Linked DNA regions of Mus musculus. The protein of the gene in region 6 interacts with the protein of the main gene of each other region in a biochemical or structural test. Links are inferred from orthologs where the notes say so. Each region holds a gene or a part of one and is shown on either strand. Other genes may lie near its edges.

What was found.
Region 1: the proteins of Cdc42 (region 6) and Mcf2 form a complex in vitro, tested with the Homo sapiens proteins (2 studies listed by BioGRID). The link is inferred for Mus musculus from reciprocal best matches to the Homo sapiens genes CDC42 and MCF2.
Region 2: the proteins of Cdc42 (region 6) and Pak1 form a complex in vitro, tested with the Homo sapiens proteins (11 studies listed by BioGRID and IntAct, with this or other methods). The link is inferred for Mus musculus from reciprocal best matches to the Homo sapiens genes CDC42 and PAK1.
Region 3: the proteins of Cdc42 (region 6) and Eif2ak2 form a complex in vitro, tested with the Homo sapiens proteins (2 studies listed by BioGRID and IntAct). The link is inferred for Mus musculus from reciprocal best matches to the Homo sapiens genes CDC42 and EIF2AK2.
Region 4: the proteins of Cdc42 (region 6) and Ncf2 form a complex in vitro, tested with the Homo sapiens proteins (2 studies listed by BioGRID and IntAct). The link is inferred for Mus musculus from reciprocal best matches to the Homo sapiens genes CDC42 and NCF2.
Region 5: the proteins of Cdc42 (region 6) and Trip10 form a complex in vitro, tested with the Homo sapiens proteins (3 studies listed by BioGRID and IntAct). The link is inferred for Mus musculus from reciprocal best matches to the Homo sapiens genes CDC42 and TRIP10.
Region 7: the proteins of Cdc42 (region 6) and Cdc42ep3 form a complex in vitro, tested with the Homo sapiens proteins (2 studies listed by BioGRID). The link is inferred for Mus musculus from reciprocal best matches to the Homo sapiens genes CDC42 and CDC42EP3.

What each region holds. Positions count from the first base shown.
Region 1 is NC_000086.7:60,176,290-60,180,281, reverse strand, and holds the start of Mcf2 (proto-oncogene DBL), read left to right. Parts: upstream 1-1,192; 5' UTR 1,193-1,375; coding exon 1,376-1,700; intron 1,701-3,992. UniProt on the Homo sapiens protein: Guanine nucleotide exchange factor (GEF) that modulates the Rho family of GTPases. Promotes the conversion of some member of the Rho family GTPase from the GDP-bound to the GTP-bound form. Isoform 1 exhibits no activity toward RHOA, RAC1 or CDC42.
Region 2 is NC_000073.6:97,880,939-97,884,438, forward strand, and holds part of Pak1 (serine/threonine-protein kinase PAK 1), read left to right. Parts: intron 1-2,533; coding exon 2,534-2,650; intron 2,651-3,500. UniProt on the Homo sapiens protein: Protein kinase involved in intracellular signaling pathways downstream of integrins and receptor-type kinases that plays an important role in cytoskeleton dynamics, in cell adhesion, migration, proliferation, apoptosis, mitosis, and in vesicle-mediated transport processes.
Region 3 is NC_000083.6:78,869,073-78,872,572, forward strand, and holds part of Eif2ak2 (interferon-induced, double-stranded RNA-activated protein kinase), read right to left. Parts: intron 2,198-3,500; coding exon 2,077-2,197; intron 1,662-2,076; coding exon 1,582-1,661; intron 1,464-1,581; coding exon 1,415-1,463; intron 439-1,414; coding exon 404-438; intron 1-403.
Region 4 is NC_000067.6:152,813,653-152,817,152, forward strand, and holds part of Ncf2 (neutrophil cytosol factor 2), read left to right. Parts: intron 1-3,338; coding exon 3,339-3,447; intron 3,448-3,500. UniProt on the Homo sapiens protein: Subunit of the phagocyte NADPH oxidase complex that mediates the transfer of electrons from cytosolic NADPH to O2 to produce the superoxide anion (O2(-)).
Region 5 is NC_000083.6:57,261,824-57,264,197, forward strand, and holds the end of Trip10 (cdc42-interacting protein 4), read left to right. Parts: intron 1-530; coding exon 531-649; intron 650-1,176; coding exon 1,177-1,325; 3' UTR 1,326-1,874; downstream 1,875-2,374. UniProt on the Homo sapiens protein: Required for translocation of GLUT4 to the plasma membrane in response to insulin signaling. Required to coordinate membrane tubulation with reorganization of the actin cytoskeleton during endocytosis.
Region 6 is NC_000070.6:137,326,760-137,330,259, reverse strand, and holds part of Cdc42 (cell division control protein 42 homolog), read left to right. Parts: intron 1-1,135; coding exon 1,136-1,245; intron 1,246-1,349; coding exon 1,350-1,547; intron 1,548-3,500. UniProt on the Homo sapiens protein: Plasma membrane-associated small GTPase which cycles between an active GTP-bound and an inactive GDP-bound state. In active state binds to a variety of effector proteins to regulate cellular responses. Involved in epithelial cell polarization processes.
Region 7 is NC_000083.6:79,352,292-79,356,398, reverse strand, and holds the start of Cdc42ep3 (cdc42 effector protein 3), read left to right. Parts: upstream 1-1,307; 5' UTR 1,308-1,582; exon of another isoform or gene 1,583-1,700; intron 1,701-4,107.

The DNA.
Region 1 (3,992 bases), on a different chromosome or scaffold from region 6:
CCTCCCAAGTGCTGGGATTAAAGGCGTGTGCCACCACTGCCCGGCTTCTATAGCTTTTCCTTTTTTTTTTCCAGATTATAATTTATTTACCAGATTTCTTTTTTCCCCCTTCCCTCCCTCCAGCCCCTCCCCCCTACCTCCCTGCTAGCCCTTCAAAGTCCTGCTGCTCTAGCTTTTGTTATGAGCAGCTAGCTTTCCCTTACTCTTCCAAAGCTTTCTTCTGGGGAGCTTTGGGCTTAGGAGAAGGGATTGGCTGGGACCTCCCATCCTTTCTCACTTGGTTCTTCAAGAGGATGTCTTGTCTTGCTGCCACCCCCCCCATTCCCCTGGTCAGTTTGTTGTTATTTTTCGTTTTAATTGCGTATGTGATGTTTTTGAGACAGGATCTTTTGTAAGTAGCCCAGACTGGCCTGGAATGGGCTATGTCGCTGGAGATAACCCTGATCCTTCAGAGTCCATCTCCTACCCAGAAGTGCACACTAGGAAAACACTCTACCAACTGATCTGTATGTTCAGATTCGACTTTGGTTATTATTTATTTTTGTGCATAACATATGTATTACAGTGCATGTAGAGGTCAGGGAACACTTATGTGGGATCAGTTCTCTTATTATACCATAACTTACACAGGGTTCCTTTAACCCAGGTTGATCCAGCAAGTGTTTTTTACCTCACAGTCTTCTCAGTAGCCCATTTCTATTTCCTCCTTTCCTTTTTAAAGCAAGTCAGGAAACTTGGGCGAGTGCAGGCTGGTGGGGGGCAGGGTGGGAGAAGGCACATTCAGGCTAGAGCTCCAGCCCTTTTGGACTAACCAGGGCTGCTTTTCTGGCATCAGCAAAGCTCTCCAACAGTGTTATCTGCAGGTGCCCACACTGTGTATCCTTACTCCACTCCTGCCCTGCCCTGAGAAGCAGGATGCAAAGGAAGAAAACTCTTGACTCCAGCTCCCACTGCCTAGAGTGAGAGGTCGGGCGGTCTCCTCCCTACACGTGCTCCAGCCTTCCCTACCCCTCCGCGGGCGTATCTGTGGGGGCTGTCCCCTCTGGTTCTCGGTGTCCCGCCCCTGATCCATCCTGTTGGAAACTAGGCGGGGACGTGGGTGTACATCCACTCCGAGCGGAGTTGCTCAACTCTCAGTAGCTGAGGTCAGAAGTGCTCTGCAGCCAGAGTCTTGAAATCTCTGCAAGTTTCTGGGCTCCCTGTCCTGGGGCTTGTTGGTCCCAGCTAGGGGGCTCTAGTCTTCTAAGCCACTGAGCTGCGTAGACTGCGACCCTTCTGGCCGCGTCTGTGCTTGCACAGACGGGCTGCTAGCGAGCCAGAGTCCGGCAGTGGCCAGTTGAGGTTGGGGTCACCAACTAGCGAGTCTGGCTTGAGGATGGCGGAAGCAGGGCCCCCTCCAGCAAGGTTCCCTCCAGCAAGGCTCCCTCCAGCAGGGTCCTCTCGGGCTGGGCTCCCTCCAACAGGGTCCCCTCCCGCTTCCACTCCGGCCCTGGCCTCGCAGTGGCTGGCGGTCAAGCGTTTGCCTAGGGCTGCCGCCAAGGCGCCCAATCTCCAGCTGAATCAGGACCACTGTTCTTTCGTGCCGTTCACGCAGGCGGTCCCGGTGCAGGTGGACATGGCCATGGCCCTGCATCGCGTTAGGATCGCGGAGAAGTACGGGAAGAACTACCTCTGCTTGCTGCAGGCAGTCTTCCTAGCAGGTGAGTACCACATCCCTGTGCACTCCCACTCAGTTGCCTGGAACACTGGGCTCTCTCCCCTCTTCCCGGCTCCCTCCTCAACCTGTTCGGGTAGGGGATGTCTGGTGCACTTTGTCTTCTCTGCTCTCTCTCTCTCAATCAACCTCTCTCTCTCTCTCTCTCTCTCTCTCTCTCTCTCTCTCTCTCTCTCTCTCTCTCTCTCCCTCCGTCTCTGTCTCACTCTCTCTTTCTCCCTCTCCTTTCCCTGCCCCCATTCACTCCATAATCCACCCCCCCTGCTGTGGCACTCCTAGTTTAGAGCCGCCCAGACTGTGGACCTCAGTTCCTCAGGCCAGCTGCCACTCTGAGGATGTGTGTGGCTCTCTGCTCAGCTCAAGCCCCGCAGGTGGACCCCCAGAAGCCCGCCATGCAAGGTGAGACTGTTCCAGGTCTCTTCCTCACTTCCCACCACCACCCACCTGGATGCCTCTTGGTGGAGTTGGGAATGTTAAGGGAGGAATCTTCCTACACCGCATTCTGTACCCTAGAGCGGAACCTTGCTGAGGAGGAGGATGCAGATGCACTTCCCTGTAACACTCCCTGTAGTTTTTAAAGCGAGGTTTATTTACTTGTGTGGGTGGTTGCTGTTTGTTTCACGTACGCGTGCTAGGGCCAAGTCAAAAAGGCGCTTGGATTCTGAAAGCCGCGGGCCTGAAGTTGGAGGAGGAGTTTGCAGGCAAACTGCGGTCAAGAATTTGGGTTTTCTCACTAGGACCGCCACTTCTTTCCAGCCTGGTCCTATGAGCTTCCTGTCTTCCTTCAGCTCTTACTACAAAGGCGAAAGGCTCTTTCTTACTTGCCTTGGAGGGACAAAACCAAAGCTAACAAATGTCTTAACTGCTGCCACTGTTTTGGTAAAAAGCTTAAGAGTAGTGAGAGGCGGCACTTGATGTATACATATTGAGCTAGTCGGAGTTGCTTGGCTTTGGACTCTTGGTGTACCGTGAAGCATGCAGAGGCTCCTAAAATTTAAAGTTCCTCTAATACCATTAGCAGTCCAGGAATATCCGCCAGGTGCTGCAGCTCTGGCCATGTCTTTTGTGCGTCTGTGGTGCTTGCTTACCCTGCGGTGTTCCTTGTAATGGGAATTTGGGAATTAAAAACTAGACATGGTGTAGTTTTTCTTTTCTCAAATCAGGTAGCCACAGTGTGTGTTCCAAATTCCTCTTCTTGTTTGAGGCTGTCCACGAATTGGAAGGAGGTCACGTCGATGACTTCGGTTAAACCACAGGAAACCCAGGGCTCTGTCTAAAGCTTGGTAACAAAGAACCCTTTGGTCTTGAGTATTTTGTTTGGAAGCGGTCAATGTTATTTTCTGTATGTAATAATAAATCATTAAGGGAAGTGTGGGAGTGGGGCACACACTTTTTCAGGGTTTCAGGGCAGTTTAAATGGATGTGGGAGGCAAAAAAAAAAAAAAAAAAAAAAAGGAAGCCTGTGCACAAGTCGTGTGCAGTGGGGGCTAAAGATCAACTTCGTAGAAAAAAAACACATAAAAAATGAAACAGTCTCACTTTGTAGCTCAGGACCAGCTCCAAATAATCCTCAGTGCTGAGAGGGCATAGGTACATCCTCATGTCTACCACCACTCATAACACATAGGCACTCACATGTACACACACACACACACACACACACACACACACACACACTTGTATGGATACGAGAGAATGAGGTGTTCTGGGGCCTGTGTGTTGGATGCTAGGCAAATGCTCTACCTCTAAGTTACAATCCTGGTGGGAAAATGCCACAAAAATGAAATACAAAGGGATGATTCTATTGCCAGGCATTTCTTTCTTTGTTCTCAGTTCATTTTCTTGATCCTTGGAAGTTTCTAACATGCTGCCACTGTGGCATGGCAATACATCCTAGCACTCTGTTGTGTTTTAGTGGAGGTGGGGGTGGGGAGAGGGATACAGTAGTGGGGTAGGGAGACTGGCAGCTATTTGTGTTCAGGTATTTTTCAGCAGTTACCACCATGTCCCTGCAAAGATAAGTATATCTGTGGCTGGGACACACCCTATAGGATATTATAACTTTATGTTGTTGTTGTTGTTGTTGTTGTTGTTGTTGAGGTGGGCATTTAAAAAACTTGCCTATGTTGCTTTTGAGCTCCTGGTTTAAAGGATGTGCTTCAACCTCTAGAGTAACCAAAATTACAGGTTTGTAACCCCGTGTACAGCTTGGGACTTATTTTGCTCTTTTCAAAAATACACTGTTTTGTTCTCTTTTTAGTGCGTATATGTGTGGGAG
Region 2 (3,500 bases), on a different chromosome or scaffold from region 6:
CTGGAAAGAGAGGCCCATTGGACACGCAAACTTTGTATGCCCCAGTACAGGGGAACGCCAGGGCCAAAAAGGGGGAGTGGGTGGGTAGGGGAGTGGGGGTGGGTGGGTATGGGGGACTTTTGGTATAGCATTGGAAATGTAAATGAGCTAAATACCTAATAAAAAATGGAGAAAAAAAAAGCAACAAGATTTGTTGGGTACCTTTAATCTTAGCAATCAGGAAGCAGAGGCAGGCAGATCTATGTGAGTTTGAACATCTCTGGTCTACATAGCAAGTTCTAGGACAGCGAGGGCTATGTAGAGAGATCTGTCTCAAACAAATGAATATATGTGTATATATTATATCTGTATATAACATGTATATAATATCATATATAATATGAATTGTATATAATAATGTTATATTACATTCTATATAATATTAACATATATAATATGTTATTTCTACATAATTTATGCATATAGTACATATATAATATACATATGTGTGTATTATGTATAAATAAACAATATACTTATTTATATGATACATGTTATATATTATATATAATAAAATAGCAACAAGAAATCTAAAAATGTATATTTGTTGAATATTTCTTTTTTCTTTTTTAAAGATTTATTTATTTATTTAATGTATGTGAGTACACTATTGCTCTCTTCAGACACACCAGAAGGAGGCATCAGATCTCATCATGGATGGTTGTGAGCCACCATATGGTTGCTAGTAATTGAACTCAGGACCTCTGGAAGAGCAGTCGGGACTCTTAACTATTGAGCCATCTCTCCAGCCCAAATATTTATTTATATATTTACTATTTCTTGTGCTCTTCATTTTGGCTGATGGATTTGAGTTACCATTTGATGTTATTTTGAGTCTAGTAGAATGACTCTCTCTGTATATAATCATACACACACACACACACACACACACACATAAAACCTCACTAGTTGCAAGTAAGATATGCTAACATTCTCTGGTTTATTTTTTTAACCCCAAATGTGTTCATCTTTATTAAATAATTTTATTTCTTTAGTTCTATTTGAGGGGGTGTGCACATGCCCATGTGTGTGTGTTGGGGGCAGTGGTAGAGGACCATTTTCAGGAGATAGTTCTTTCCTTCCACCCTTTGGGTCCCTGAGATCAAACTCAGGTTGCTGGGTTCCGTGGCAGATGTTCTTAGTTGTTGATATATCTCTCCAACCCTCATCTCCATTTTTTAAAGGTAGTTTTATTGTATATAGATTTTGTGATTGTTAAGTTTTTAAAATGTTGGCTCTAGATTATATCATCCTATTGCCTTCTGGTCTCTGTTGTTTCATTTACATTTTTTTTTCTTGAGATAGCATCGTATAATGTAACCTACCACTCTCCTTCCTTCCTCTTCCCTTCCCCTCATTTTTCCTCCTTTCCCCTCAAATTATATAACTCTTGTTTCACATTTCCTCATAATATTTTAGAGGATGATGTACTGCCTATGGTGGTCATAACTTGGTGCTTATACGTGCTTGACACTGTCAAGTTTTGTGCTCTATTATGATGTGTTTTTATTGTTTGAGATTGCGCTTTCTTTAGTGTATCAAATGTTCAGTCTTTCTGGATTCTTCAACTTGTCACTTGTTGGGATTCTTGGCTTTCCTTTCTCAGGAGCTTCAGGTGGTAGGCAGGAGAGGGCCTCACCCTCTGGCTCTGTCTAGTGATGGTGACCTACTTCAGAACTTGGACCATCTTTTTTCATTTTTATGCCTTTGATGTTGACAGAATCCACCACAGTATTCTAGGCACTCTGAAAATATGTGAAATTTATGTCCATTTATCTGAAAAATCCATATTGCCTTTCTGGTCCTACTACTAAAACAATAACAATAAGAACAACTACTCATGTTTTAGATCCACTTATCTTGAGTCTGGTTATTTTTGTCTAGCTTTATTACAGTTTGCATGGGAAAATCAAGTTGCTGCAGATCATTTGCAGATCTAACTAGTGGTGCAGTAAAGTTCATCCTGAGGCAGGACTGAAGCTCGGGGAAACCCACAGGGTCTGCCACAGCCATACCCTATAATATAATAGGTTCAGGAGTTTGGAGAAAGGAAGTGGGGGTGCTATTTAGACTTTAAGTTACTATATTAAGAACAAATAATCACAGTGATAAAGTATAGAAAATTAAATACTTTTTATTTTCCTCTTTACACTTATTTTCTGCTCTTTATAAAGAGTAAAATTCACAGAATAAGGAGAACCTGAACATGGCTTTGAGTATTTGATTGTATAAGGCAGGTAAGGAAACTATAAGCTGGCTTACTACTCTTTAGTCTTTAGATGGGAAAAGGAAGCTTTCAGAGTGAATAGATAGTGATGGCTAAGAGAGAAGGAAGCTGTCTGAGTGAGACAGCTGACTGCACAAAGATGGAGAGCCTTGGTTGATGACCTTTCAGAAGAGGTGTCAGAATTGACTACCTTCTAAAGAACTAGCAGACCTGGGATCTGGAGTTCTATGTCCACTGGACCGGTTGATTTTTGTCCTTTCTGCATAGAATGTGAAGACTGTGTCTGAGACCCCAGCAGTACCACCAGTGTCAGAAGATGAAGATGATGATGACGATGCTACCCCACCTCCAGTGATTGCTCCACGCCCAGAACACACAAAATCTGTGAGTCTCTGGGGATCTTGAAGGCTATACGATTTATTCACATAAGGGGTGGCAGAAGCTAGGGAGGTAGTGGTACTAAGACTGGTGCATAGGGGTCCATAGACTGGCACTGGTGAAGTCATTGAACTACTTTTTTTCCCCCTCTCATGTGAATGGTCTTGATTCATAGTGATCCTTCTGCCTCACTCTCCCAAGTGCTAAGATTACAGGCATGCACTACTGTGCCCAGCTGGACCACTTTCTACATGACTAAAGAGATGTGGTGTGCTTGTTATTTCAGTTATTCCTAAAGTTCTCTAGGTAATTGGTGTTTATATCAGTCTAACCTTGGTTTACCTACCCTTTTCTTTACTGGTTAGGTATATAGAATGGTGCATTTCACTTTCAGAATAAAATAAATTATTCCAGTTTCTTAGGAAGCAGTAAATTGCCAGAGATTTTATTCTTTTGTTTTATATTATGTAGTGGTCAGCCTCTCCAGCATTTTTGATAATCCTGAAAGACCTGGGAGAGTTTATAAATACATTAGTGCTATTAATATGCTGGACATTAGGAATGCATTTTGATGCCAGATATTGGTAGTGATTTCTCTTTTAACTTCCTTTGAGGTTCCTGCATTTTAGAATAGCCACACTCCCTCCTTCTGCACTTTGCCCACTCTGCAACTTTGCCTTTTGATTTAGCATCATTGAATAGTGATCTCCCATCTGATGATACTCTGAAATACTACTAATGTTTGTTTTGGCTGTTTAGTATGAGAACTCCATAATGAAAGAATCCTCTGAGACTTAAGCTCTGTGTTGATTAAATGTCTTAATGGAAGGTGCTGTGGAGGAAATTCAGTTAGATG
Region 3 (3,500 bases), on a different chromosome or scaffold from region 6:
CATCCTTAGGACAAAGGTCTCCTGGGTCCCCCCTCCCTCTGGCCCTCATGCCTCTCTGATAGTGAGCCATCTGCAGTGAGATGTTCAAAGGTCACCAGAATTAGCCCCACAAAGCCATGCCACCACCCTGTCTCCCCACCCTCAAGCCCACCACTGGCGCCTGCTACATCATCACAGGGCTTTTGTATCTACAGATACAAAGATGTGAGTGTGTAAGTGTGTGGTGTGTTTCTGTGTTTCTCTCCTGCTAAATTGGTTTCCAGCTCTCCACTGCTTCTGAGACTACCACCCAAACACACACGTACAATGTTCTGTCAGTGCCACAGTCAACAGGTGAGTCTGATAGACGGAGTCTGAAAGAGATTCCTAGTCTGAAATATGTTCCGTGCACAATGATACTCACACTCCTGATTTCCTTTTATTTTCTCCGAGACCGTTCTGCAACAAAAGGAAAAGGAAGCTGTTTCAGATGAGGAGAGCCATCGTCTTAGTTTGGGAGCTGGCCCCGTGACCAGGTTCCTTACATCAGCTTCCTAGGTCGGCCATTTCTCTGAGTCGCTACCAACGCTTACTGCAGGATTGCCAAGCAGCTGTGGCATGCCATCAAATGGCCATTTGGAGGTGCACTTTCCTCATCGCTAGGGGAATGAAGCATCTTTTCCCACTCGCTGCCCACTTAGGTGTAGCACATCCCTTCAGACCATATCTGTTCTACTGGATCAACTGTCTTTTTCTTACAGACTTGTAGTTCTTAGTAAATAGATGGATTTTTACAACAAATTGCCTGATTTTTAAGTTTAGTTCTGATTCTAAGTAGGGGTGGAACTACACCAAATATTATTCAGTTGAATGGACAAGGAAAAAGAAAGTAGAAACGTTAAAAAGAACAAAGGTAAGGGCCAGGAGAGAGTTCAGTAGCAGAACTTGGCTAGAATACCTATTTATAGCTAGAATTTGAATCCCAGCACAGGGAAGGATGCAAGGAGGGAGGAGTAGGGGTAGGGGATGGAGAGTGTGAAGGAAAGAGGAGAGGGAGGAAGGGAGAGAAGGAGAGAGGGAAGGAGGGAGGGGGGAAAGAGGAAAGGAGGAAGGGAGAGAGGAAAGGGAAGAAGGGAAAAGAAAAAGGAAGGAAGGAAGGGAGGGAGGGAGGGAGGGAGGGAGGGAGGGAGGGTTACAAAGTGGGTGGGAAAGGATGGGGGAGAGTGGGGAAGAATTTTGTCCTTGAAGAAGAGAAGTTAATATGAATGAAAGTTAATAAAGAGAACAGAAAAGAGGCAATGACTGTTAATATCATGATCTAGTAAGGACATGAAACTGAAATGTAAAACTTATGAAATGATCATAATCATATGGAAAGATCACATCTAAGTGAGGAGAGAAAGGGAAATGGGAAACTTCAAGGCTGGTATCCTACCGTAAACACGTTCTCTGAGGAAAAACTTCCAGGTGCTGACTGGGAAACACTACAAGAAAAGGGGAACCTTGATGAATTCAGTCTGGTGGGGAGGGGGGGATCAGGACCCACAGCCTCAGACATGCCACACCCTCAGCCTGCCCAGCACTGTTGCCACCCAAGCTCACCCATTACTTGTCATAGACGAGCTGCTGGAAAAGCCACTGAATGTAGATGTGACAACGCTAGAGGATGTTCCGGCAGTTTTCTGAAAGAAGGGACAGCCCTTAGCATGTTCACAGGGTGCTAACTGGTCTCCCTGAGGCAGTCCATCACTGTTCACAGGGAGCTAACTGGCCTCTCTGAGGAGGTCTGTCACTGGGTACACACTACTGCACATACTCTCCCCGTGGCCACCAACTCCACAATTGCAATCACAAAATTAACACATTTTTTCATGGACGTTTGGGCTAAGTTTTAAAAAGCAACCCCGAGTTGCTATAGAACTTTTATGTCTCAGACCCTCGTGGCCCCATGGTTCGTGGATCATTGTTGGTACACAGGATGGAGGGACCATTCTTTACTCAATAGGCATATGCCCGCAGTATAAAGACAAAGCAATCTGAAGTCAATTTCAAAGGGAATCATGATTGTACAAATTAAATCTAACTGGCAACACATACCGGCGGGCTCTTTAACAGCTTCTGATAGGCTTCTTTCGCAGCCAACTGCTTTGCCTCCTGTTTGGTGACACCTGAACCAGTACCATACATTGTCTGCCCAATTTTGCATTTACAAATAAATCTAGGAAAAATTAGAGTATTCATTCACATATCAAAAATATCGTCCATCTAATGCACACTTTGAAAAGGCCCCTACAGACAAATAAAGGCCTGAAAATCAGACTAAGAATTTTTTTTATTTAGATTTATATTTCCTACCTCACATAATTTAATCCCCACAAAATGGCCATCAATCTAATGTAAATAACCAGGAGTAGCTTATATCCTTGTCTACATTTCCCAGGCAACATCTAAGTCTTTCTTGCCTCATTGAAAGACCTGACAGCAAAACACCAAGTGATGATTTAAAACAAAAACAAAAACAAAAAACCAAATGGAATCTTTCCAATCCCAAGTAGAGGGAAGAGAAGAGGGAAAGGTCTAGCACCTTTTCCAGAGCTGTTCAAATAGGAGAGAAAAACAGTTGGTAGGATGGGGCTCACAGGGGCTAAGCTCTGAGGGTACAGTACTGTGGCCTTTGGGGAAGACAGCACACTGACAATGTGCTCAGGACCTCCAGGTTCTAACCCTTGTTCACACAGCATATCCCTCACAACTGCGCTCTTCACACAGTAGGACTAAGACCGGTCCTGCTGATCCATGCTATCCGTTTATCCAAATGTGAGGAGCAGAGACTCAAGACAAGCAGCTCTCTAACCGAAACTGATATAGAGTCGTTTCCATGTACAGACAGAATGGTTCTTACACAGTTGCAGCTGCTGTGGCCTCAGGGAAGGGAAGAGCTCTTCGTCCCTGATCCATGGGCATCCTGAACTTTTTAAAAAAGTTTAGTGGACTAATTGCCCAGATGCACCTCCAAAAACCAGCAGTCCCCTCTTATTGGCAGGGGGCTGGCGGATGACTGAAACCATGGATTACATTGAACTCATTGTTCTCCTTAAACATTCCTATGATAAAGTTCATCTCATAGCCTAGATAGAAAAAGACTAACAGCCAATAATAAAATAGAACTATTAGTGCAGTATGCCCTACTTCTAGGTTTTTGAAATGGTCTTCCTCCATCTGGTTGACCAAAGATAACTGAAATTTCAAAGTAAACCAGCCAAATTGGATTGTGATAGACTCCGCAGCCTCAAACTTTTTATTTTTTTAATTTTCAAATTTATTTTTTATTTTGTGTGCATTGGTTTTTGCCTGCATGTATGTCTGTGTGGGAACGTCAGATCTTACAGTTACATACAGTTGTGAGCTGCCCTGTGGGTGCTGGGAATTGAACCTGGGTCCTCTGGAAGAGCAGTCAGTGGATGGTTGAGAAACACCAGTAGAATAGTAGGCATTTTATGTACTCCCAATCCCGTTTCTGC
Region 4 (3,500 bases), on a different chromosome or scaffold from region 6:
GGAACAAGTGAAAGGGGGAAGGGATGTTTGCCCCAGAGGGGCAAAGGACTGCCTCTGGATAGAGAGGAGATGGATGTGGCCCATAGGCAAATGGCACTTTATAAAGGTAAAGGGGAACCCCTGAGTTAGGGTGGGTTGTTTTGTTTTGGTTGGGCTTGTTAATTAGCCAAAAGGGGGGGGCTTTAATAGCTGGACCCTGGTAGTCAGCCTCAGGAGGAGGAAGTGGCCAAATAAGGAAATAGACCTTGGGGCTAGCTTTAGGAACTGAACCCAAGGGTTTTTAGCAGGGGGAGAAAGGTAAAAGCCAAAGCCTATCTGCACCCTGTCCTCCCTGTGTGCAAGTGTTTTACCTGCAGGAATGAATGTGTAGCATGTGCATGCCTGAGGCCCATGGAGTCCAGAGCTTGTACCAGATCCCCTCGGACTGGGGCTATGGATGGATATGAGCCACCATGTGAGTGCTTGGAATCAAACCGCAGTCTTCAGTGAGAGCAGATACCACTCTTAACCACTAAGCCATTTCTCCAACCACCATGCTTGGCCTTTGTTACGTGAGTCCTTGAGATCTGAGCACAGGTCTCATGCTTGAGGAATAAAAGCTTTACAACTGAGTCTTACATAGGGTTTCATTGCTGTGAAGAAACACTATGACCAAATCAACTATTTATTTTATGTGAGTACACTGTAGCTGTCTTCAGACACACCAGAAGAGGGCATCAGATCCCATTACAGATGGTTGTGAGCCACCATGTGGTTGCTGGAAAGAGCAGCCAGTGCTCTTAACCACTGAGCTACCGCTCCAGCCCTCAAGGCAACATTTAATCAGGCTGGCATACAGTTTCAGAGGTCTAGTCCATTATTGTCATGGTGAGAAGCATGGCAGAGTCCAGGCAAACATCATACCATCTACATCTTGATCTATAGGCAGCAGGAGGTGACTGAGCCACTGGGCATGTCTTGAGCATATGAGACCTCAAGCCCCACCCCCACAGTGACCCTCTTCCTCTAACAAGCCCACACCTTCTAATAGTCATATTCTCTATTTGTATGGTCTATGGGGGCCAATTCCATTCAAACTATCACACCCATATGTGTTGAATTAATTATGAGTATTAAACGAAGTAGACAAATGTCTACTTCCAGGAAGGTGTAGATTAAAAGGGGGAACTAAGTCTGTGACTGTGGTGTAAAGCAAAGTTGGGCCCCAAGCAGATTGGAAGTGCACAGTGACCTAGAGAGGTGAGTTGATATTGAATGGGTTAGGCATTCCTTTCCATTGCACTGGGGCTTGTCTTAACAGGGTCATTCCTACCAAGGAGGGTTTGTCCCCTCGACCAGACCACTCACTCACCCGGCTTCAGTGTTGCTTGTCTTAAATTCTAGCAGAACAAAGTCAGAAGCGTTTCCCAAGCAGCAGATGGTAGCTCAAGATGACTCTCTCCCTCCCATCAAACTTCCCTGTCCCGACCTTGTCAACCCAAAAAAGGGAGCAGGGTATGTGGGGGGCGGGGGGAGGGAGTGGGGAGGCACTGTAAGTTATCATTCACACAATGAGCCTCCTGGATCTTCAGGCTGTGGAAATAAAAGCAGGGTGAGACCTTTCAGAATAGGGCGGAGCTGGTCTAGAAAGGGGAGGAGGTAAAGCCTTCTTCCTGCTGGGCTGAGAGGATTGGCCCTGACCACCAGGGGCAGCATGCTGGGGGTGCGGCCTGTTTCGACTCCTCCCTCTCACTTATTCCAGTCTGTGAGCTCTGGGACTCTAGACTGTGTGTGTGTTGGTAGCAGAAGGCAAACAGCAGCTTCAGAGGTTACCAAGGGGTCCCTATGGGGTTGGTGACAGAAACGCCAAGTAAAAGTACTCTGGAGCCAAGAGCCTGCCTGCTCTGGGGGTGTGGCTGTTTCTCGGCAGATGTCTTAGGAAGCCTCCAGATGGTAGAGGAGGGCACTTGGAAGGGGGCCAGCCAGAAGGGCTGGACCTCTTTCAAAACTGGTCCTACTCAGACCTGTGCAGTGGGATCCAGAGCTGTATGTTAAAGCCGAGCCGCTTGCCCTGGGCGCTGCTGAGGTCACAAGCGCGGGGGGGGGGGGGGGGGGGTGAGGAGGGAAGCCAGGCAAATGATTCGTGCAATGGACATCGGGGCTGGGGGTGTAGCTCAGTTGGTAGCGCTTGCCTAGCTTGCAAGAAGCAAGCTTAGCTCACTTGATTCCCCCATCATACACTGGGTACAATCCAGCATTCAAGAGGTAGACGCAGAAGGACCAGAACTTCAAGGTCATCCCAGGTTACACATTGAGTTTAACACCAGCTTTGGATACATCAGACCCTATTTCAACATAACAACATTAACAAATGGGCAATACGTTAGCAGAGCTGCCCCATCCACCAGCTCCTTCTTACAAAACAAGCACTCTGGGTAACTTGTCCTTTTTCTAAAACAAAACAAAACAAAACATTGTGGACATCTTGATGAGACAGAGAATTGCACGGAGAACTTTGCTGAGTCCCTACAGTGCCAGGTAGACTCAGGGCATCGCCACAGCTGAAAACCACCTGCTCAGCCAACTCTGCAGGGAGCAAGACACGATTGTACTGTTAGTGCTGATGACACTTAAAGTGTCCCCTCTGAGATTGTCCCTGCTCCCAAACAGGCTGTGGAACACAGTGGGAATTGTATCTGCTCATAGAACAGGACACCTGCACCCTCCACCTGCCCTCTCCTTGCTTCAGGGGACCAGACAGCCACACACAGCCTGTGCTTACAGACAGGGGTCCAGGAAGCCTACCTTCTCATTCTTTACAGACCTGAGATAACGTCTCCCTCTTCCCCAGACTGTGTGGAGGGGGCAAGAGGCCACAAACCTCAAACTGGACTCAACAGAAGACACAACAGGCTCTAGGCAGGAGGATGGTACCCACAGCTATAGCTGTAACGAGGAACCCCTGGCAGCTGTGGCCAGGCAGATCTGTCCTTGAGCGAGGGTGGTGGGGACTGCTTTGAGACTCTTCCAGAGAGAAGCAGGGTGGTTCTGCTTGGAGCTCTCCAGTGAGGCTGAGAGCTGTGTTTGAAGGTCACTCAGGTCATCAGAAAGGTGGGAACTATGCATACAACACTTAGAGAAGAATAATCTACATTGCTGTCATAGACGGAAGGTCCCCACAAGCTGTGCTGGTTAGCCCCAGTGTGCAAAAGTCATACATAGTCTGTAAAAGTCTTTGCGCTCAGGGTTGGAGAAAAGGGAGAAGGTCAAACAGAGCAGGAGGGCTTCTTGACGTGGGCTCTGCATTTCTCTCTCCATGACCTGCATGGGACCAGCTCTCTTCTCCTCCTGTCCTGCAGGTACGACCTTGCTATCAAAGACCTTAAAGAGGCCTTGACGCAGCTTCGTGGGAACCAGCTGATAGACTACAAGATCCTGGGGCTGCAGTTCAAGCTGTTTGCCTGTGAGGTGAGGAGGGCAGGGATGGCCCGCGAGGGAAGCACAAAGGTCTAGCTGTTGTG
Region 5 (2,374 bases), on a different chromosome or scaffold from region 6:
GGCCTGGTATAGCACTGGCCTAGAATCTCCCAGTGAGGGCCTGTGGATGTGGCCAGGGTGGAGCTCCAGTTTAGAATCCCCCAGTGAGGGCCTGGGGGGCTGGTCAGGGGTGGAGCTCTGTCTAGAATCCCTCAGAGTGGTCAGGGGTGGAGCTTTGCCTAGAATCCCCCAGTGAGAGTTTTGGGTGTGGCAAGGGGGGTGGAGCCCCAACCTCGAATCCCTCAGTGAGGGCCTGGGGGCTGGCTAGGGGTAGAGCTCTGCCTAGAATCCCACAGTGAGGGCCTGGGGGCTGGCTAGGGGTAGAGCTCTGCCTAGAATCTCACAGTGAGGGCCTGGGGGATGGTCAGGGGTGGATCTCTGTCTAGAATCCCCCAGTGTGGTCAGGGGTGGAGTACTAACCTAGAATCCCCCAGTGAGGAGCTGGGGTGTGGATAGAGGTGGAGCTCTGCCTAGAGTCCCCCAGTGAGGGCCAGGGAAGTGATTCAGAGACCCTGGGGGTCATGCTCCTGTCTTTTTTTCCATTTCTCAAGCAGCTCAGAAGAGCCCCCTTCAGAAGGCCAGGACACCCCCATCTATACTGAGTTCGATGAGGACTTTGAGGAGCCTGCATCCCCTATCGGCCAGTGTGTGGCTATCTACCATTTTGAAGGTGGGCCTTTAGCACAAGTTAAATGTTTCTGTTTTGACAAAGGAACTTAGTCTGAAGCCTGTAGCTCGGTGGTAGAGTGCTTGAGCGGTGTCCTTGAGGCTGTCCATTCAGTCTCCAGTATTAGCCAAAGGAAAGACCTGAGGAGTCACCTTAAGGAAGGGTTTATTTTCTTATTTGAAACCATTTTTGTGTTGTGTGTGAGAGAGGTGGGTTCCCTCCTACTGTCTATGTCCTCGGTATCAAACATGACAGCTGGCATCTTTACCCACAGAGCTGCCTCAGACTCTCAATTTTCCTTTGTATAGTACAGGACCCCAACCAGTGGGATGGTGTTGCCCATATTCATGGTGGGGCTTCCCATCTTAATTCAGACAATCTAGAAGCTCCCTCTCGGACATCCCAGAAGTTTGTCTCTGAGATTAGAAGATCCCAGGTTCCCCTTACACCAGGGGATGTAGCAGTTGCTTGGAGCCATGCCTTCTGATCAGATTCATCAAATCTGACCTGCCCCCGCTACTCCCCAACAGGATCCAGCGAGGGAACCGTCTCCATGTCCGAGGGGGAAGACCTCAGCCTGATGGAGGAAGACAAGGGTGATGGATGGACGCGGGTCAGGAGGAAACAGGGAGCTGAGGGCTACGTGCCCACCTCTTACCTCCGAGTCACACTCAACTGAACCCCACCAGAGGGGGACGAGGGGCAGGGCTGTCAGCTGCTGCTTCTGGGCCACAGGGGGGGCCCCCAGGACCTTGCACTTTATTCCTGCCCACGTGGCTTTTGGCTGAGACCTGTGTAACCTGCTGTCCCTCACTCACCTGTCACCTGTCACCCTACGGGGACCCACTTGTGGCTTCCCACGTGGTTGTACATATTTGTCATTTAAGATCTTTCTTCCCGCCGCTTGGCTTGAGCCAAGTTTTGTTTTATATTAAAAAAGTATATATAATTATATAAAGTTCTTGGAGTCTGCACCGCCAGTGTCGGGAATGGACCTTCAAAAGGCATCTCTGTGGAGAGGTGGTTTGGGAGTCGGGTTTTGGATGCTCTTGCAGAGGACCAGGAGTTGGTTTTCAAAAGCAGCTCCCAAAGCTCACAGACATCCAAGCCTAGGCCCCCTCTGGCCGACTCTGGCAGTCGCACTCATACCTGCATGTATCCTGCCCAAGTTAAAATGAGATAAAAGCTTTCTTATGAGCCCCGTGTGGAATAAATGGAGGTGAACCTCGGTGCGCTCTGGCAAGCCTGCCTTGTGCATGTTACCCATGCTTGTGATCTCCATGCTCTAGAACAGGCATGTCTACCTTCCGTTTCCCTAGAGTGCAGAGATTTCCCAGCTGCCGGGATGAGTGGTTCATACTGGAGCGTGAGTGTTGTTCTGTGGATACTTGAGTGGGTTTATTGGTAAAAAGGAGGCAGCTGTTACACCCCAGTCTCTTGGGGTCCATTTTTGTACCCCAGTCTCTTGGGGTCCATTTTTGCACCCCAGTCTCTTGGGGTCCATTTTAAGAGGAAGATTCTTATAAACTTGGACCTGGGAGGGGAGCAGAATTCAAAACAATTTCCCCATAGTTTTCATAGAGCCCAGGCTGGCCTCAAACTTATGTAGCTAAGGATGGTCTTGAACTCCTGATTCTCTCATCTGCATTTCCCAAGTGCTGGCGTGATGGATGTGGGCACCAAGTTCAGTTTGTAGCCTCTTGAATAGCTGGAGGCAGTGTCCTTGGG
Region 6 (3,500 bases):
TTTCTTAGGACTTCCTATGTTTAGTTTTTGCCATTTTTATTTTGTGACCCTTTCACCTCTGGCTAACTCCTAATTATTTTATTCTTTTTACATCTCCTTCATTCTTGCCAAGTTCCTTTTTTCTAGGCCTTTCCAGTTACAGATACTGACTTTAACATGCACCTATGGATCGAGCATTGGACTTAGTCTGGTAGTTATTATGGATGGTGGATGCCTTCAGTAGAGTATTTTGTTAGGTGGTCTCACTGTGATCTTTAGTAGCTAGAAGTAAATATGATTTTTTTCTTAAACTACACCTGTAGTAATGATTTATTGTTGTTACATTACTACTAAGTTATTAATAAAGAACTTAAAAAAAAGTAGTATGCCAATTTCCTTGCTGTTTAATTTAGTGGCATATATAAATAGAACCAGCACAGAGAGTATTGTCCAAACAGCATATTACAAAGCTATACCTTTGATTAGCAAAATTGCTTTGTCACTAATGGCTGATATGCTAAGAGCTGAATACCTGAAGTCTTAGCGGAGCTGTAGTCCCCTGCCCACCTCTTTTTTGAAACAAGACTTTTACTATGTAGTTTTGACTGACTTGGAGCTTGGTTTGTAGACCACCCAAACTTGTAGTGATCTCCTGCCTCTGCTTCCTGAGCTCTGGGTTTATGGGCATGCACACTATCTCCATTTTTTTCCTTTTAGATTACATGTATGTATGTATATATGTGGAAGCACATGCCATAGCATGTATATGTGGAGGTCAAGAAGCTAAACTTGGGGGATTTGATTTTCTCCTTTCACCGTCTGTTTTCTGGGGACTGAATTCAGGTTGTTAGGCATGTCATCTTTACCACTGAGTGATCTTGTTAGCTCCGCCATGTTCATCTTTGACAATTTTTTTGATATATGATCTCATGGTCACACCTAACCTTCCTGCCTCTGTCTCACTAGTGCTGAGATTATAAGCTTGTGCCAACCATGCCTGTTTTTAATGTGGTATAGGGCTTGAGTCCAAGGCTGTATGTGTGCTAGGTTATCACTCTGTATACTAAATAGCTATAGCCTTAGCCCCTGACCTGTGATTTTAATGCCGCGAGGATACCAAATCTCAGTTGCCAACCTCTCTTAACTCTTTCTTTAGGGCAAGAGGATTATGACAGACTACGACCGCTAAGTTATCCACAGACAGATGTTTTTCTAGTATGTTTCTCAGTGGTCTCTCCATCCTCATTTGAAAATGTGAAAGAAAAGGTAAGTCAGGTTCTGCCCTTTGAAACATGCACAGAATTCCTGTTGCCCTGTTACAGTTTCAGTGGCTTGTGGATTAACAAAACATTTTAAAACCTTGCTTTTAGTGGGTGCCTGAGATAACTCACCACTGTCCAAAGACTCCTTTCTTGCTTGTTGGGACCCAAATTGATCTCAGAGATGACCCCTCTACTATTGAGAAACTTGCCAAGAACAAACAGAAGCCTATTACTCCAGAGACTGCTGAAAAGCTGGCGCGGGATCTGAAGGCTGTCAAGTATGTGGAGTGCTCTGCCCTCACACAGGTAAGGAGGGCTCTGGAACCTATGTCTCTGTAGTCAGTTGTTTTGAGCATTAGGATACAGAGGCTCTTTCCTTTTATTCTTTCTTTTTTCCCTTAAAAATTTGTCCGTGAATGTATACTGTGTGAGTGTAGTTCTGCAGAGTACATAAACTGACATGACTATTCCAAGGTATAGTTGAGAGGAAGGTTTTTTATTGTAGATATGAAGGAAAGACATCAGGAAGAATCCAGAGATGAGAGAGAAAATAGACTGAACATGGCCAGCAAACTGGACTTGGCCATGGTGGTGGTGGGGTTTGAAGGAAGAAGAGAGAGGAGGACCAAGAGAGGGCTGAAATAGAAGGGAATGAGAAGCTGGAGGTGGAGTGGGGTGGGGTGGGATGGGGGCTTCTGAGCTGGAGAAGTTGAGGGTAAGGAGTGGGTGGAGGTCAGCATGCACTTGGTTATGCTAATAGGCACCCTAGGTAGCAATTTGTCCCTTCTGCCAGTGATAAGGAAATGACTTCCTGAGGAGTGAGGGCTTTTTGTCCATCTGTCAGAATTTGGCCCTGACATTTCAACCTTTTGTTTATGATAAGGGCAACATAATCTCTTCTGTAACTGCTTCTTAGTTGAAATTAGGACATTGATGTCAGAGCTCTGGAAGACTGGGATGCCTGTTTAAGGTTGGGAGATTCCAGTGCTCTGAGCAGTCTGGAATGACAGAGACCACTATCTAGACAGTTGTCCCAGATTCCTGTGGTCCTGTTGCACTGTGGTCAGAGGTGGTCTTTGGCCATTAGGCCAGAAGAGGGAGGCCTTTTTTTTTTTTGTGGAGAAGGAACATGGGAGAGACTGACCTCATCTTGTCTTCAGCAACACTTAGCAATAAATCATAGCAGTAAGTTTTCCCGTGTCCGGTTTGCCCACAGTGCAGGCTGGGCCCTAGTGGGCAAGGCAGGGGCCAGTCTGTCCACTGGTCAATGTACTCTAATCCAGGTTTAGTCTTTTGTCATTCTGCCTATATCTTCTTGAAGAACTTGCAGAGGTGGGTTGTGTATCACTGTTAGGATTTGGGAGTCACTGTCATATAATAAGTTTAAGCATATTAAATGCCATAGTCAACAGGTCTCTGACAGGCTTGAGGGCTAGTACCCACCGAGCATATCTGAGTTAAACAATCTTTGTCTGTTTTCAGGTATCTGCGCTAAACTGTACCTTGCAAACATAAAACAAGGGGCTAAGTAAAACTTCATCTTGTAATTACGTCAATTCATAGAGAAACCTCAAATATATTTTTGGACACATTAAAAGATTTGATCATTTATTTATAAGGTTACTATCAACTTGCATTTCTTTTTTTTTTTATTAAGATTTATTTATTTATTATATGTAAGTACACTGTAGCTGTCTTCAGACACTCCAGAAGAGGGTGTCAGATCTCATTATGGGTAGTTGTGAGCCACCTTGTGGTTGCTGGGATTTGAACTCAGGACCTTCAGAAGAGCAGTCAGTGTTCTTAACCGCTGAGCCATCTCTCCAGCCCCTTCACTTGCATTTCTTAATTATCCTTAACAGTTGACAATAATTTAGTAGCTTCCTAAGATTAGGACTTTGTGGGGCTTTTTGTTTGTTTGTTTGTTTGTTTCTTTGTTTTCGAGACAGGGTTTCTCTGTGTAGCCCTGGCTGTCCTGGAACTCACTTTGTAGACCAGGCTGGCCTCGAACTCAGAAATCCACCTGCCTCTGCCTCCCAAGTGCTGGGGTTAAAGGTGTGAGCCACCACCGCCTGGCTAGGACTTTGTGTTTTATCTCTGTTAAGTTTAGATTTAAAAATTAAGATTTTGATTTTGCTCTTCTAGTATCAAAATAAAATTTCTAAATCTATAAATATAGTTTATAATTAGAGACTGGGCACATTTCTGACCTTTATAGAACATAAAAGCTTCCTTGGTAGCCTGTTTCTGTGGTCAGCT
Region 7 (4,107 bases), on a different chromosome or scaffold from region 6:
TTGTGTCCGCTTCCTTTTTAAATTCATCTTAACGTCGACCGTGGTTTAGGACCTGGGCTTAAAGTGCACCCGGTCTAAGGTTTCAGAGCGATTCAGATTGGGGGCACCCTTGTGATGACCCCGATAGCGCCCAGGGAAGCCAAGGTCTCCAGGAGGGGCTCTGCTTTGTGCCAGGATTTCCAGGCAACCTGAGAGTCCCAGGGTTGGGGCCAGACCTGGAGCGTGCGACTACTCGGGGTTCTAGCTCCTTTTCCAGGTCAACCAAGCCGGCGGGGGACATCAACGCCGGAAAACACCACCTTTTCCTGTCTCCAACCTGGCGGACTAAGGGAGAAGGAAGAGAGGGCGACCAATTAAGACAATTAACATTAATTCTCTGGGTTCCTACAGAGGTCCAGGGACAGAGGGGCGGGTCGTCCTGAGGCCCTGGCTGGGTGACCGACAGGTGCAGGTGTCGCCACGGGCGGAATTTTACGGTCCGGAGCAGCAGCAGCTGCGCCACTTGCGCCGCCTCGCAGAGCGTCCCGGAGAGCCGCCACCCGCTTCCGCAGCTTTAGGTCAATCTCTGACAGACCTGGAGGGGGAGGAGACGTCACCCTCCCGACAGGAAAAACCTGCTGCGTCTGCGTTTCTCTGCGTCCCGCAGGCTCTCAGCCTCCACCCCGCGTCTCCCGCGCGTCAGATCCGCGCTCCAGGTTTTGGCGACAGCTTGCAAGGGGAGCCGGCTGCACGTTGACAGCACGCGACCCTCCTTTTCCCTCCCGAGAGCTACAGCTGCCAGGGGGTCCCCAGGGAGCTGCGGCCGCGCTGCGGCGACCCGGTCAGGTGGCCCTTCTTCCCCGCGCAGGTCCCCTTCCTCCGCTGCGAAGCCCCGCACTGCTAGGTGGGTTAGGTAGGACAGGGAAAGGCGGGGACACGAGGGTGAGCACGAGGGTCCCGGGTGCGGGCGGAGTCCCATTGTTCTCCCGCACCGTACGGACAGCAACGCTCTGGGGTCCCCTCTTTAAAGGGAGCACCCCGCCACTTTTCTTTGTGCCTGAGGGAGCCCCAGCCGGCATTGCCTCTGAGAGAAGCCACCACTGGGAAGGGGTGGAACTGGGAGGTGACAGTGGGTAGCCTTTGTCCTCCAAGAGTCCGCAGCCTCGCCTCCAGTCCTGCGGGTCTGGGGGTGGTGGGGAGGTGGGGGACAGGTACAACGGAGGGACGGTCCAGGTCGGCCCGCACCCTTCTCCCCGCCCTGCCCTGGCCTCACAGCCCCGCCCCGCCCCGCGCCGGCCCCGCCCTGCGTCCTGCGCCCCGCCCTCGGCAGGTTGAGGCCCGGCGTCCGGCAGCCGCGCGCACAGTGTCGCGGGCGCTTCCAACTGCCGCTGGGAGCACAGCAGCGGGACGCTCACCGACAACCCAGTTCCGCAGCGGCTGCCTCCCGGGAGACGCCGCGCGCAGTCCCGGAGCAGATTCTGCGGTGAACCGTTGCCGCCCCTCTGGTTCTGCGCGCACCAGCGAGGACTGTTGCGCCCTCGGGAGGCGACCCGGGCCGACGCCCGGCCCTCCGGGCAGAAGCTAGGAGCCTTAGAGACTGCTGGTGAGTGTGTGACCCAGGCTGTCTCTCCACCTGTAAGACTGTCCGACCCTCAACCTAAGCCCCCTTCCAGCTAGTGCAGATGGTGGCCTTGGAAGACTTAGAGGGTGCGAGGATAATCTACCGCACCGCCTGGTTGAGCTGATGTTTAGAGGATCAAAGGGGACATCATGCTTGACGTCCGGGAGGGGGGATCAGGACGCGGAGCTCTGCCACCTACTTCTTTAGGGTGGGGCTGCAGTCAGCACGGCCCCCTCCAGGCCATTGACAGCCATTCTGGGCGCGTGTTGCGTTTTTCCAGCAGAACAAACCGCACTTGGCTACCGCGGCCCTCTAGTTGTGTGTTTGCACCGATGCGGCGCGGCGCGAGAGTGCACCGCGCAGCTTGGCAGTTTCCGAACTGACAGAGGCAGCACATTGTAGCTGAGGCTCCAACCTGCAGATCTGGCAGTTGGGGGAAAAAAATTTTTTTTTTCTTTCTCGACTGCGGTTTCTGAACAACTGAAGCGTTTACAAGATCTTTACTCCCTCTTCCTCCTCCTTCCCCTCTCCTTCTCCTCCTGCCTCTCCTCCTCCTCTTCCTCCTGCTATTGCTCTTCTTCCTCTTCTTTTCTCTTCCTTCTCACTAAGTATCTTGACACAGCCATGCGAGGACGAATGGATCCGGCCAGTCAGTTTTTTTCTTTATGAATTATTATACTCCACCCCGCTCTCGCCTTTGGGAGGGAAGGCATGTGTTTCATCTTATAAATAGAAAGTAGCATATTTTTTGGCAGGACCTGCTTTATACTGCACCGTCTAGGAGAGGTCAGTTTAAAAATAAATATGCACTTGAATGTTACATTACCGAGCCGGCTGTGGCTGGGACAAGCTGCGAGTACAGCGGCATCAAAGCTGGGCGCACATCTGTGTTGAAAGGAGTTAAAGCCCCAGAGTGCAGCCCCGGCTGACAGTCAAGTAATTACATTTTGTTTAAAAAAAAAAAAGTGAGTGAATTAAAAGGAGGGTGGGAAGAGGAATGTCAGGCAGGGACTGGAGCCTGAATCTTTGCAGCCTTGGTGCGTTTGCGGGGAGTGGGCTGCTGATTGTGTGCAGTGTGTAGTGGGGGCTCTGGGGAGGGAACTGATGGATGTGTTGGGGAGACAAAGATTCCTTCTGCTGCTTCCTCACCCTGGCAGCTTGTAGCCCTCCCAGTATCCTCGAGTTCTGGGAGGGGGTGGAGGAGGGGTGCCGCCTTGAAAATATTAGGAGGGTAGCAGATGTCCCTGCTTTAATAGTAGACCCAGACTTGGGAACTCCCCCTTAACATCACAGGGAGAAATAAGCCTCCCCAGGAAGCAGCCAGGATGCCCCAGGGGCACCCCTAAGTCCATTAAAAGACTCCTGTAATGGTCTGACTTATAAAAGATCTTTCAACTAACAACTGAGCTAGGGAGTACAACTTCTGGACAGTTGTAGATACCTCCACCACTGTGATTTGATGGACAGTTTAGATGTCAGTATACACAAACACCTTTTTCAGAATGAAGGACTCGGCCATAAGGCCGTTATGAAATGTCTAGCGATGTAACGTGTGAGATAAAGGATTAAGATCTATATTCAAGGAATGGTTGACAGTCCATCTGGAAGTGCCTAGGTTTTCCAGGAGGCCTCACCCATGGTTGGAAGACGGGGCTACCAGTCTCGGGGCTCACAGCCCCTGGGCTCTCAGATGATGTTTAGAGGAGAACTTTGGAAGCCTTCTGGGTCTGTGGCAGTTTCTGTTTTCCAGCCGTCTCATCTGCTAGAGATTTGCATTCTGAATTCCATGATTGGAACATGGTGCCGAGGCTGTGGCAGCCCCCTGAAGACATGAAGTAAGATGAGCTCCTTCCCACCCCCCTAATCTGCACCCTGAAAGTCTGCCTCCTATCTTCAGGGCACCTAGAAAGGTGTCGAGAGTAAAGTACCTGGTGTACATTTGCTTTCTTGGTTTTTATTGTGAATTTAAATGGGGTCCAAGATGCATAGAAAGCTGTGACCATGATTGCAGAACGGCTCCCTGGAGCCAGGCGGCCCTATCTGCGCTCCAGTCTTCCCTTTAATGTGGTGTTTTGTTTTATGTCTGACATGTTCACAAAAGCTGCCCTTTTCCACTTATAAACTTCCTGCTATTCAACAGCATTGGGGATAAAATCTCTTTAACCTATATCACCCTAAGGTTTTTAACCAAGCCATAAAACTTTCACAAGTCCTTTGCCCATTTAGACATAGCATTTATCCAATGGGTGGCAATACAGTTCCCAACCTAAAAGCCCTTAGAAAAATTGTGCCAATTTATTACTAGTACTACTACTACTTATTATTATTATTATTATTATTATTATTACCACCATTGTTTCAGTCTGATTTCATAAAGGCTGTCTTTCTAACTAGAATCCCACTGATTTTTTTCATTAAGAACCGAAAAATTGTATTTTTAAATACACTATGCTTCCCAGAGAACAAGTAGCAGATTCAACCAGGCCAATTAAAAAAAATCTCTTAAA